Linked DNA regions of Xenopus tropicalis. The protein of the gene in region 1 interacts with the protein of each later gene in a biochemical or structural test. Links are inferred from orthologs where the notes say so. Each region holds a gene or a part of one and is shown in the gene's direction. Other genes may lie near its edges. The genes, in order: rnf7, ube2f and ube2s.

The links.
Region 2: the proteins of rnf7 (region 1) and ube2f form a complex in vitro, tested with the Homo sapiens proteins (10 studies listed by BioGRID, with this or other methods). The link is inferred for Xenopus tropicalis from reciprocal best matches to the Homo sapiens genes RNF7 and UBE2F.
Region 3: the proteins of rnf7 (region 1) and ube2s form a complex in vitro, tested with the Homo sapiens proteins (3 studies listed by BioGRID). The link is inferred for Xenopus tropicalis from reciprocal best matches to the Homo sapiens genes RNF7 and UBE2S.

What each region holds. Positions count from the first base shown.
Region 1 is NC_030681.2:129,414,205-129,418,300, forward strand, and holds the start of rnf7 (RING-box protein 2), read left to right. Parts: upstream 1-1,235; 5' UTR 1,236-1,274; coding exon 1,275-1,407; intron 1,408-3,927; coding exon 3,928-3,975; intron 3,976-4,096. UniProt on the Homo sapiens protein: Catalytic component of multiple cullin-5-RING E3 ubiquitin-protein ligase complexes (ECS complexes), which mediate the ubiquitination and subsequent proteasomal degradation of target proteins.
Region 2 is NC_030685.2:59,017,044-59,021,265, forward strand, and holds the start of ube2f (NEDD8-conjugating enzyme UBE2F), read left to right. Parts: upstream 1-1,416; 5' UTR 1,417-1,518; intron 1,519-4,222. UniProt on the Homo sapiens protein: Accepts the ubiquitin-like protein NEDD8 from the UBA3-NAE1 E1 complex and catalyzes its covalent attachment to other proteins. Together with the E3 ubiquitin ligase RNF7/RBX2, specifically neddylates cullin-5 (CUL5).
Region 3 is NC_030683.2:106,141,943-106,146,277, reverse strand, and holds the start of ube2s (ubiquitin-conjugating enzyme E2 S), read left to right. Parts: upstream 1-1,531; 5' UTR 1,532-1,589; coding exon 1,590-1,592; intron 1,593-2,318; coding exon 2,319-2,466; intron 2,467-4,308; coding exon 4,309-4,335. UniProt on the Homo sapiens protein: Accepts ubiquitin from the E1 complex and catalyzes its covalent attachment to other proteins. Catalyzes 'Lys-11'-linked polyubiquitination.

The sequences.
Region 1 (4,096 bases):
CAGACATTTGTCTTTCAACGATTGTTCTCTGCGCATGTCACGATTGCCAGCAGCAGAAGTCAACGACATCGATCGTACGTAGATGTACGATCGTAGGTATTTTACGATAATGATGCGACAAAATCTTTCCCGAATTATCGTTGCCCGTGGATGGCATATCGTATGGGAACTCGATCGCCATACGATCGTTTGTCGATATAATCGTTCATCGCACAACGAGCGAAATCGCCTCGTGTATGGCCACCTTTACAAACTCCTCCTAACCTTCAAAGCCCTCTATTCCTCTGCTCCTCACTACATCTCTTCCCTTGTGTCTCCGTACGTTCCTGGCCGACTCCTTCGTTCCTCGCAGAGCAATCGCTTGGTTGCGCCCCCCACTACTACTGCGGTTTCCCGCCTTAAACCTTTCTGCCCCTTACATTTGGAATGCCCTCCCTGATGTCCTCCGGAGAGAATCCTCCCCCAGTCTTTTTAAGACTAAACTAAAAGACTTTAGACTCACCCAGCACCTGATCTGGGAACTGGCACTTATATTGTAGTGTCACCCACTGTGACCTACAGCACTTATATTTGCCTATTTGTGTCTGTAAGTTACCCCTCCCATATAGATTGTAAGCTCTACGGGGCAGGGACCTCCATCCTCTTGTGTCTTTGACTCTTAACTTATTGCAGCTGTATTTATCTGTATTTATTGTTATACTTTGTATTTATCTATTATCTTATTAACACCCTGTTTACATTAATGTATTCTACTGTACAGCGCTGCGTACATAAGTAGCGCTTTATAAATAAAGATATATATATATATATATATACACATACATACATAAATACTCTACATGCAGCTGACTGAAATGAAGCTAATTGGTCATTGGTTGCTATAGGTTACTGCCCATGTGCAAATTCACCCAGGGTTGATAAACGAGCAAAATCATCCTCACCTAGGAATATATCAATGATAACACTTTTAAATATAAACCTAATGTTCATTATATTTGTCACTAAACACAAATACTGACATCAGGCAACACCATGCTCCGCCCCAGCAACAAATCGCAGCGCCTTTCCCTTAACTGTTTCGGGCGAATAGAACCAGTATAGCTATTGGTTGCTTCTCTAGGGGCGTAACCCTATGTCTTGCGTACTGGGATTGGCTCTACAGATATATTTTGCTAAAGCGATTGGCTTAGCTTAGCCTGTGCTCTTCTCTCATTGGGTCAATTACCGCAGCACATCGAAAGGATTGGCTATCTGAGGAGCCGCCCCCTGCCGGTATGGCTGCTTTGCGGGAGGAGCACGGAGCGAGCGGACCCAAGATGTTCTCCTTGAAGAAATGGAACGCGGTGGCGATGTGGAGCTGGGATGTGGAGTGCGATACGTGCGCTATCTGCAGGGTGCAGGTCATGGGTGAGAGATACAGCTCGCTGGCACTGGGGCGAAGGCTTCGTGTTGCGGGAATTACCTTCCGCTGCCAGCAGCAGCCCTGCTTGGGGAATCGGCCATACAGTCTCTGGTGGGGGCCGGGGGTTACTGTCACCTACTGAAATGACAGGCGCACACAGGCGGTATATGGAATATACCATTACCCTTCCTGTATTGTCATCCTGGGGGGAGAGGGACATCCCATTCCTAGTAGCTTTTTATGCCCCCCTGGATGACTCAAATCTCCATAGACAGTAATGTTGCTATAGCCCCTTGGCTATTTAGCATCCTTCCCCCCCTCCCTGTGCCAATGCTTTCACCCCCCCATCTGCCCCATCTGTTTGGATTTTGCCATGATATTCCCTGTGGGACTGCACCCATGCCCACCAGTTACACTACTGCCCATACACCCCATTGTGTCACATCATTTATTCCCATACACCCCATTGTGTCACATCATTTATTCCCATACACCCCATTGTGTCACATCATTTATTCCCATACACCCCATTGTGTCACATCATTTATTCCCATACACCCCATTGTGTCACATCATTTATTCCCATACACCCCATTGTGTCACATCATTTATTCCCATACACCCCATTGTGTCACATCATTTATTCCCATACACCCCATTGTGTCACATCATTTATTCCCATACACCCCATTGTGTCACATCATTTATTCCCATACACCCCATTGTGTCACATCATTTATTCCCATACACCCCATTGTGTCACATTATTTATTCCCATACACCCCAATGTGTCACATCATTTATTCCCATACACCCCAATGTGTCACATCATTTATTCCCATACACCCCATTGTGTCACATCATTTATTCCCATACACCCCAATGTGTCACATCATTTATTCCCATACACCCCATTGTGTCACATCATTTATTCCCATACACCCCATTGTGTCACATCATTTATTCCCATACACCCCATTGTGTCACATCATTTATTCCCATACACCCCAATGTGTCACATCATTTATTCCCATACACCCCAATGTGTCACATCATTTATTCCCATACACCCCATTGTGTCACATCATTTATTCCCATACACCCCAATGTGTCACATCATTTATTCCCATACACCCCATTGTGTCACATCATTTATTCCCATACACCCCATTGTGTCACATCATTTATTCCCATACACCCCATTGTGTCACATCATTTATTCCCATACACCCCATTGTGTCACATCATTTATTCCCATACACCCCATTGTGTCACATCATTTATTCCCATACACCCCATTGTGTCACATCATTTATTCCCATACACCCCATTGTGTCACATCATTTATTCCCATACACCCCAATGTGTCACATCATTTATTCCCATACACCCCAATGTGTCACATCATTTATTCCCATACACCCCATTGTGTCACATCATTTATTCAAATAAATGATAAAAAACATAAAGTGTTGGCTACTTGTCCCACAGCATTGATGTTAATAAAGGATCTAGTTCTCTATATTGTGAAATATACACAAACAAACACTATATGGTTTGAAGTATCCAGACTCCCCTTCAGATTAGTGGAAGTTATTATTTAAGCCACACTTCAGTCTCATTACTGATCTGGGGGTATAATGAAGCACCAGCAACAAATATTGCCAAACTTAGTGATTTTTAACATGGCATCATCATAAGATGTCTGTTTTGTTGCTATTTAGTTTGTGAGATTTTGGTGCTGGTGAGATGTAGGTGGGAAAGTGAAGTAGTGGGGCCTGGATACTCGCAGGCAATGCTGAGCGCAGATTACAGCACATATCCGTCAGTTGGAACACTCACTTCTGAGCTCCACACTGTTCCTGAAAGCAATGGCAGCACAAGAACTGTTGGTAAAGTAAGAATAAGGATTTCTATGAGAGGGCAGTGTCACGCAAGCCTAACATTTGGAATGCTAAGCTTCTCCTGGGGAGGATATTGGGAGCAGTGGGAACAGGCCTTTGTCAGATGAATCCCTTGTTACCATCCTAGTTGTTTACCAAATGAGTGTGGGTGACAGACACCAGCTGGACACTCCCTACCTGAATGCATAATGCAGATTTAAAGCTTGGTGGGGAGGAATAATAATCAGTTAGGGCCCCATTGAAAGAAACAGTGTACTATACTGTTAATGACGGTTCCATGTTTTCTACTTTGTGACAACAGTTTGGGTACAGTTCCGTCCTCTTTTATCCATACTAGTCTTCCTGTGACTCTCATGGACCCATTCAGTTCCTGCGACTATCCCATTAATTTACATTGGCATTAAATCCCTACCTCACCCTGGTCTATGTAGAAATGAAAAATCTCATGTCAGATAGGTCTGTCTGTGATTATATACACACATGCACCTCAGATTGGATTCAAGCCTCTTCTGCATGGAATTCCTTCCTGTTTAGCCACATTATATAATTTATTTTTTGCTGCTGGGCAGAAGAGGGTTATAAGAGGAAATATTTTAATGGAAGGTGTGTTTTCCTTTCTAGATGCCTGCCTGCGCTGCCAAGCTGAGAACAAACAGGAGGACTGTGTGGGTATGTTAATAACTGACTGGATTTCTAAGCCCGGGGAGAGAGTTCATGGCTACCTAGTAGTGAGTGGATTAAGATGCTGGGCTTACGTCACTGTGTGCATGGGGTCATTCCTTCATAGTGA
Region 2 (4,222 bases), on another chromosome or scaffold:
ATAAAAGCATGAATTACTTAAGGCTTGGTCAAACATTGGGAGCCAAAGCTCTGGTAGCCGCAACCATGGGTTGCAACTACCACGAAAAAAAAGTATTTTTCCTCTAATAAAAATATAACCAGCAAGCCCAACACGTGCATGCTGTGTCACATCCAACAAGATAGTCAGATTCAGTTGGAGCAACTTTTTTTTGCATAGAATTACATGAACTTTGATGGTGGTGTTCCACAATGGATCAGGTTAAATCTGACCCACAACATCTGATCAAAGGTACTCTTTGGGTTTAGCCCATATTTCCCCATTTTTGGATAGTTGTGGGTGACAGCTTGTGTGGTCTAACTCCTCTGTGAAACAGGGGAAACCCTTTCCAGCGCTAGCCTGCTAGACTACCTTTGGTCAATTTTACTAAATTAAGTATTGTTTGGTTCCACAATAGTGAAAAATCTGACCCTTGTTTACACAAAAAACACTGGGACTCTTCAATGCCTAAAACATTACTGTTAGTATATTTTACCCATTATATTCACCTTAAACAGTCCTCCCTGTATTGTGAAAAATCTGGTTTCACATAAAACTCTAAAAACCCTTGGATGACACTTTACAAAAAAAAAAGGACCTAAAAACTCACGATAACTTTTGGTCAATTTCAGTCATTGTATTCACCTAAAGTAGCCCTTTTTTGCCACAAATTTTGACTAAATCTACCCCTTGCTTTCACAAAAATACTGGGCCCCTGATTCCACTCTAAGAAAAGATCCTACTTTTGCTTCATTCACCCATTGTATTCTAAATTAGTCATTATTTTGTCTCCAAACTGAGATGAGAATCAGCTTTAGCACGTATTGTTGGCAACCAGGAAGAACATCTTTTTTTGGTTTTCTTGCATTGGTGGGAGCTCTGAGCAGAGATAAAAACAACTGAATGTTTGGTTATACATGGGCAGCAAATGCTATGGCAGGTAATGCTGGAAAGTATTCCCCTCTTTTGCTCCTGACACAAGTAGAAGTGTAAGTTGAAAACCCTGCGCCTAATAAAATACTAGGCGCAGATACTCTAGCTGCAGCTGGAACTCCACAGAATATTTTTCCTAGCATATGTGCAAATTCTAGATAGCAAAGAAAGCATGAATTACTTAAGGCTTGGTCAAACATTGGGAGCCAAAGCTCTGGTAGCAGCAACCGTGGGTTGCAACCACCACGAAAAAATGTATTTTTCCTCTAATAAAAATATAACGAGCAAGCCCAACACAACCTCACTAGTGCCCATAACGCACTACCCCACTCCGCGTTCCCTCACCACTCCCACTGGGCGGCTACGTGCGGCGTTCCAGCGCTTATATACGTGCTGTGTGACGTCATAAACTCGCGAGATGAGCGGTGTGACGTGCGGATTCGCTGTCCGGCAGGAGTTAAGGAGCTAGACCCTAACGGGGCTGAGGGACTTTTTAACAGCGATCCGGGACTGCGGGCTGTGATAAGAAAATCGGCACTGTCCCGGAAAAAGAGGGGCTGTTGGGCGGTATGTGGCAAGGCAGCAATTAGGGTGCCCAGAAGGTTGCCTGCCTTTCATATTTACAGCAGTCATTGATGTAATGTAATAATGTATCAATAATACTTAGTACTGAAGGAGTCACTGGTGCTGTTTTTTATACAGTAGTAGTCTGTACTGTACATCAGAGCAAGCTTCTCTTTAACCCATTCCTAACTATTTCTGTACTACAATCCCAGTATCTTCACACAACTAAATCTGTATGTTGGGGGCTTGGGATCATCATATTTGGGAACAACGTGTGGCCCCCCACATAAATAGCATTTATTTGCCAGTTTTTTACAGTCAGAGGCTACTTCTAGGCTGTACCCCTTCTGACCTGGGCTTGCTAATTGTGACCCCAGTTTAGAGTAACAGATGGAGCTTGCTGGGCATGCATAACTTCCAAATATCTGTCCCGCTGCTGATTGGGGGGGGGGGGGGGGGCTTAAGAAAGGGTTCTTGTAATAAAAAAAGGAATTTAAAGTGGGGCGCACAGCTGATTTTAAACCCATGTTTGAATCAGATTCTTTGTAAGTGCCACCCGTAAAGAAATAATATGAACAGGTGATTAAAGTTCAATAAAATGTAATACTATTATTTTTTAAAGGAAACATGTCAATCTAAGATATAATTCCAAATCCCATTTTTAGTCATGTTAGTCAAAGTTTACTTTTACTACATAAGTGTTGTCCAAATGCTTACATGGTGAGGCCAACATTTATTTATACAGCATGTTTAAGTCGCAGATTATATTGAAAAGATGATGTCATACAGTGAAGCCCCCCCCCCACCCCCCGAGAAGACTGGGGTCCTGTGGAAGGCCACATCAGACCCAAGACCTCCAGTTGGACTATATATTCAGTCTTGGAAGTTACAATCACAGCAAAAGGCAGGCACCAAGCATTGCATTGTTCAGAATTCTTGTTTATGCACCAGAATGGGGGACCTGACACCCATTCACAGGCTACACAATGATTGTCAGTGGAGGAAAGTGACATCTAGGAAGTGCAAAATGGAAAGTGAAAGTGATTGCTATGTCTGAGGCACAGAGGTGCGGAATCCAATATAGGACTGACAACTGAACTTTTTAAATACATTTGAAACAAGTATGGATGTTTTAATAAACAAACAAATTTGGGTTTCATAATTTGCAAAGGACTTTTATTATACAGCATGTTTTTTTTAAAACGCATCAGTTAATAGATCTTCTCCAGCGGAATCCTGCACTGATATCCATTTTTTTAAAGCACAAATTTTTTAATATTTAATTTTAAAATTTCGCATGGGGTTAGCCATATTCTTCGATTCCCAGGGTGCACAGTCATGTGACTTGTGCTCTGATAAACTTCAGTCACACTTTACTGCTGTGTTGCAAGTTGGAGTGATATCACCCCCCTCCCAGCAGTTGATCAGCAGAACAGTGGGAACGGAGCAAGATAGCAGCTCCCTGACACCTGTATTGCTAAAAGTGGTAGATCTCATAATAGCACTCCGTAGAAAATCCAAGTCCGGCTCATGACTCCTTCAGTTACATTGAAGTAGGAGAAATAATAGGTTACCTGAAAGCAGTTCTAATGTGTAGCGCTGGCTCCTTCTGAAAGTTCAGACTCAGGCACAACACACTGAGATGGCACCTACACGCCAATTAAAAAAATATGTTTTGCAATTTAGAAAGATAAAGTGCTTCATAAAATCATGGCAGAATCCCTTTAAATTCTTTGTTTGACCAACTAAACACCTCAACTCATCACTGAATTCTAGTATCCTAAAATGTAATCCCAGTGTCGGCTATGTCAGTCGTGCTGCACATCTTTTTGCATGCGTGCTGCTTCAAGTGCCAGATGGGCACGAAATGCATTAGGCCGGCATGTTATCTAAATACAAACTTTTTTACTTTTTCTAAACTTTTGGCCTGTATGTTGAAGCTTTTGTTGGAGTGGAAGTCCTTTTGTTTTTACAGATGATAATGTAACTATATTCCTAGTGTTGGTGATGTTATGAGGCAAAGTTTCGTAGTTCTATAAGGCCCGTAGATATGGAGACTGCTACCTCTGTGAAACCCTATATTCCTTAGACCAATCTTATATTTTATATATAGTTTCTTTACAGATAAGACCGTGCTACACATGGGACACTGTCAGTATGATATTCCAGTGTGTCTTAAAGGGGTTGTCAAAACAAGTCAAAAAGTTTATTTATGATTTGTTTCCCCCTGCTTTTTCACCTTGTTTTTCCTTGCTTTGCTTAGATCCAGCCAAACTGTAACATACGCTGGGTGATTTGTCTACATTTTTCTTCAAAGCCATTTTTTGTTAATACATTAGACATTCCTTAAAGGAGAAGGAAAGGCTAATAGAGTTTCTCAAGCTGCAGGCATACCTTCAGTTCTCTCAATAGTGCCCTTACGTCTCCCCATATTTCTCCTGTTCAGATGATCAGAAGCCTCATAGGAAAAAAAAAAGCTGAGCTCTGAGTTCCCATAATGCCTCGCTCCTGCACCAAGACCGGTGTAAATGCGCAGTTTGTAAGACAATGAGGAAGTGTCCTGCTGATTGGCTCAGATCCACATTCCTAAGGGGGGGGTGAGTTCTTAGCATTCTTGAGGGAGGGGGGAGCAGGAGAGGGGAGAGAGCTGTGAGTCTCTGACACAGGAAAACAAAGAGACAACAAATCTTTTGACAGTGGACTCAGT
Region 3 (4,335 bases), on another chromosome or scaffold:
AGGGGGCCAGTATCCTACTTGCTGTGGCTTGTACAGCAATGATGGGGCCAGTATCCTACATGCTGTGGCTTGTACAGCAATGAAGGGGGGCAGTATCCTGCTTGCTGTGGCTTGTACAGCAATGAGGGGGCCAGTATCCTACTTGCTGTGGCTTGTACAGCAATGAAGGGGGCCAGTATCCTACTTGCTGTGGCTTGTACAGCAATGATGGGGCCAGTATCCTACTTGCTGTGGCTTGTACAGCAATGAAGGGGGCCAGTATCCTGCTTGCTGTGGCTTGTACAGCAATGAGGGGGCCAGTATCCTACTTGCTGTGGCTTGTACAGCAATGAAGGGGGTCAGTATCCTACTTGCTGTGGCTTGTACAGCAATGAAGGGGGTCAGTATCCTACTTGCTGTGGCTTGTACAGCAATGAAGGGGGTCCGTATCCTACTTGCTGTGGCTTGTACAGCAATGAGGGGGCAAGTATCCTGCTTGCTGTGGCTTGTACACAAATACTCTTTGCAGCATTGCAGGCTACTGATTGTCCAGAATTTGCCTTCTGTGGGAGTGTGGCCAAGACACATGCAAGACTGTTCAGACAAGGTGATATCCGCTAGAAACTATAAGCAATTATATTAAATTCCATCCTTATTTCTTTTCTGGCCAGTTATTGCAGGCCTCCCTTACAACACAGACACCCCTGCCCTAGTCCAGCAGCCTGTCAGCTAAATACATGCCAATCACTTTCATTGAGACTCATGCGCAGAACAATTGAAATGTAGATCTGTCGGCCTCTATATCAATAACAAATATTCACTTGCTTCATTTGCAGACACACAGCTGTTTTTATTAGCAGTTTTATTTTGCTATTACTATTAAAAATAGCATTCGGCGGTAAGAACAGCAACAACCAGCCTTGTACACCTCGGCCGTCCTATAACCATTCCCCCTAGCAACCACCGGAAACCCTATGGCCCAGCGCTCTCACTTCCCCAGGAACAAAAACTAACGTACGCTTTACATAACTGCACCCAATCCAGCTACGTCACTTAGTTATATTCAAACTGTCCAATCGGTAACAGCCTAACAACCTCCCTCTTACGGCTGTCACTTAATGATTCTGCTACGTTACTGGTTAGCGCAAATGTCAAACACTTTCAATGGGGGCGGGTTCCATTTCCTAGCAGTTTATTGGTGTAAACACGTGACGCGCCACGTTTGCGATTGGAGGAGCTAGCGGAGTGGGAGTGAGGCGTGCCTACAAGCAGCCGAAGGTTATATGAAGGGGCGTCGGTAAGCAAGAGAGGCTTAGTGCCGGGGGAGTGAAAGGAAGGATAGGTGGCTTGGGTCTGGGAACTGGGGTGGGAACCAAAGAAGGAAATATAAAAAAAAATAAAGTAAAAAATAGAAGAAACTATAAGTGTTGACGCTTGTATGCAGGACTAGGCCCAGACCGTGTTATTCACCAACGTCATATCCTTTTTTTTTGTTTTTAATTGGGTAGAATTACAGTTAGGCCTGGACTGTTCGTACCCAGCCTCAGAGAATCAAACACCGTCACGGCGCTGAACAGTTCTCCTCCGTCCCCCGTTTGGCACAGAGAGGCATGGTAAGTATCGGGGCTTTCCTGCTCTTATGGGGATCGGGGGAGGCGCAGTTCCACTGTGTCAGGGCAGCATTGCTAATGTATATACCTAGATTGGCAGCATTGCTAATGTATATACCTAGATTGGCAGCATTGCTAATGTATATACCTAGATTGGCAGCATTGCTAATGTATATACCTAGATTGGCAGCATCATGTGCTGTACATTCAGCTTCTACCCCTCTGAGGGCTGACTGGGAAGGAAATACATTTCCTAATCTTCCCCGAAACCCTTTCTGACTTCTCCCATCCGTTTCCATCGCTGGCTTTGTACCCCATGAGTTTGGGGACTCTGTATGTGCATCTGAGCTGTCAGGGAGCTGTCATACTGGTACCAGGGAAATGTTTTGTATAATTGGGCCTGTAGGTTGGCCTGACTGGCTTAGGGAAATGGTAATATCTGTATATTTTCAATCTGATAATACATTTACTATTGCATCTGATTTTGTTGTTGCCTTGTCTGGCCCGTGATATCGCTACTGGTCTTATTTGGTTATCATACCCTACTCTAGATCTCCAGCAGTTCTTTATGATGAGCATAATGCTGGGTTTTGGGAGTTATGAATGAGAGGTATCAGCCTGTGATGCTGCTTTGATACCGGATTTCCTAGTCAGTTGGTACTAATTACTATAAAGCAACTAGATATGGTTATTGTTTAGTAATGATTAGTTATCTTTTTTTTCTTACAGAATTCAAACGTTGAAAACTTGCCCCCACACATCATTCGTCAGGTCTATAAAGAAGTCTCCACTCTGACATCTGACCCTCCAGAAGGAATAAAGATCATTCCAAATGAAGAAGATATAACTGATGTCCAAGTTAACATTGAAGGACCAGGTGAGGTATAGCTGAGTTGTAATTAGGAATGTATGGTTCAGTAGTGTTACTGCCAAAGATCTTCAATTTTTTGTCTCAAAACTGCACCGACCCTGGGTTCTTCTGTATGAAAACTTTGTCGCAACCCTCCGATTCTTCCTTCTTGCCCCGGGCCAGCACATGTGTAGTGCAGTTTACAAAGTCAGCTTTTAACTTTACTGCACATTCACACTGGTCACTTACAGAAGTACCTCAGGTCTGTGCAGTTTTCTGCTAACAGGATCTCTGGCCCAGGCTATCAGGTAAGTTTATATAATCACTGGAGGTGTTTCTAAAATTCCCCTCACAAGGTAAATATTTTTCACAGGCCTCTGGTAAAAGATCTCTTACAGGGTACCTATTGCCTACAAATTGTTCCCTCTATCCCAGTGGTGCATGTTAAGAGCCTGCACTCTGTATGGTGGAAACAATAGTATATTTCAAAAGAAAAAACCCTGTTGCACACCTAGAACTCCCTGTTGGGGTATAGACCTAATGAGCAAGTGCCCCCCGATAATACGTTATACACATAACAAGTTAGCTGGGGCGCTTCCTTATGCTCCATAAGGTTTCTGCCACCTCTAGGTGGTGGTGTAAGAATTCTAGGGCTGACTGAGGGCCCCCAACCCATCTTATGTTGGATTCATTTGCAAAGCAGGAGAGTTGTCTTCTAACAATGAGTAGCTCCTTATTGAAACTCTTGTAGTTCTCAGGTGACCTGTAGTTTTAAGCCTTAGTAAAATGGGTGTATACAAAAACCTATATTTGCATAGTGAGAGAAAATATTGCACTAAGCAACTTTCCAGTATACATTCATTACAGTTTTTCTTCTGGGACTAACCCCTAAAACAGGAGTCTGGTCTCTTCCAGGTACAATTTCTACTTCAGCTATCAATCAAAAAGTCATGTTCCATAGGCCTCAAAAGGGGGCAGTATACCCCATTTTTCAGAGCTTAATGGTGTGTGGGCTTCTTTTGGTTGCACTTGTATAAACAGGAAGAAATTTGACTTTACATTTTCCGTATATACTCGAGTATAAGCCAAGTTTTTCAGCACCCAAAATGTGTCAGGTGCCATGGGTCCCTCCAGACCCCCTTTGTGTGACCCCCTGCTGCCCCTGCCAACCTGACAGGCTCGAACAGGGGTCCTCAAGCTATGGCCCCCCTGCAGGCCATAGTTTGAGGACCCCTGCCATAAATAAATGAGTTAGTCAGTCTCCTCCTCCGTCTAAGCTAGGGCCTAGCTAGTACCTGTGTTGGCATTCTGCACTTTTTCACCTATGGTAGAAAATAATTCCCACCAGGTTTTCACTAAGCCCTATGGAAGGACAGATGCCCCATTATCACTATATCATGACAGTTTGCTTTAATTGTTAATACATAAGTGTTCTGGAGATATATTACTCGACAATCTGCAGCTGCCAACATTATATATTTATGTAGAATTCACAGGGGGTCACGCAGAGTTGTCCTTTTATTAACTGATTATTGAAACTTAGCAGTAGCTGCTACATTTCTCACCCTAGGCTTATACTCAAGTCAATAGGTTTTCCAGTTTTCTTAGGTAAAATTAAGTACCTCGGCTTATACTTGCTTATATATGGTAGTTTCAGATTTTGCCCTGTTAACTGCATAAAATGAAAGCCATAGATATTTAAATAGGCAAAAAGTATGTTCAGCATAGGCCCTAATTATTACATTAATGTTGGAAAGGGGTGTCTACTTGTAAATTTTAGCGACAACATTTTTTAATGACTTATCTATCTGTTCTGTAATGTGTATGTATTAATCTCCACTATTCAAATACATTCTAAATATTTTACAGAAGGCACTCCATATGCAGGAGGTATCT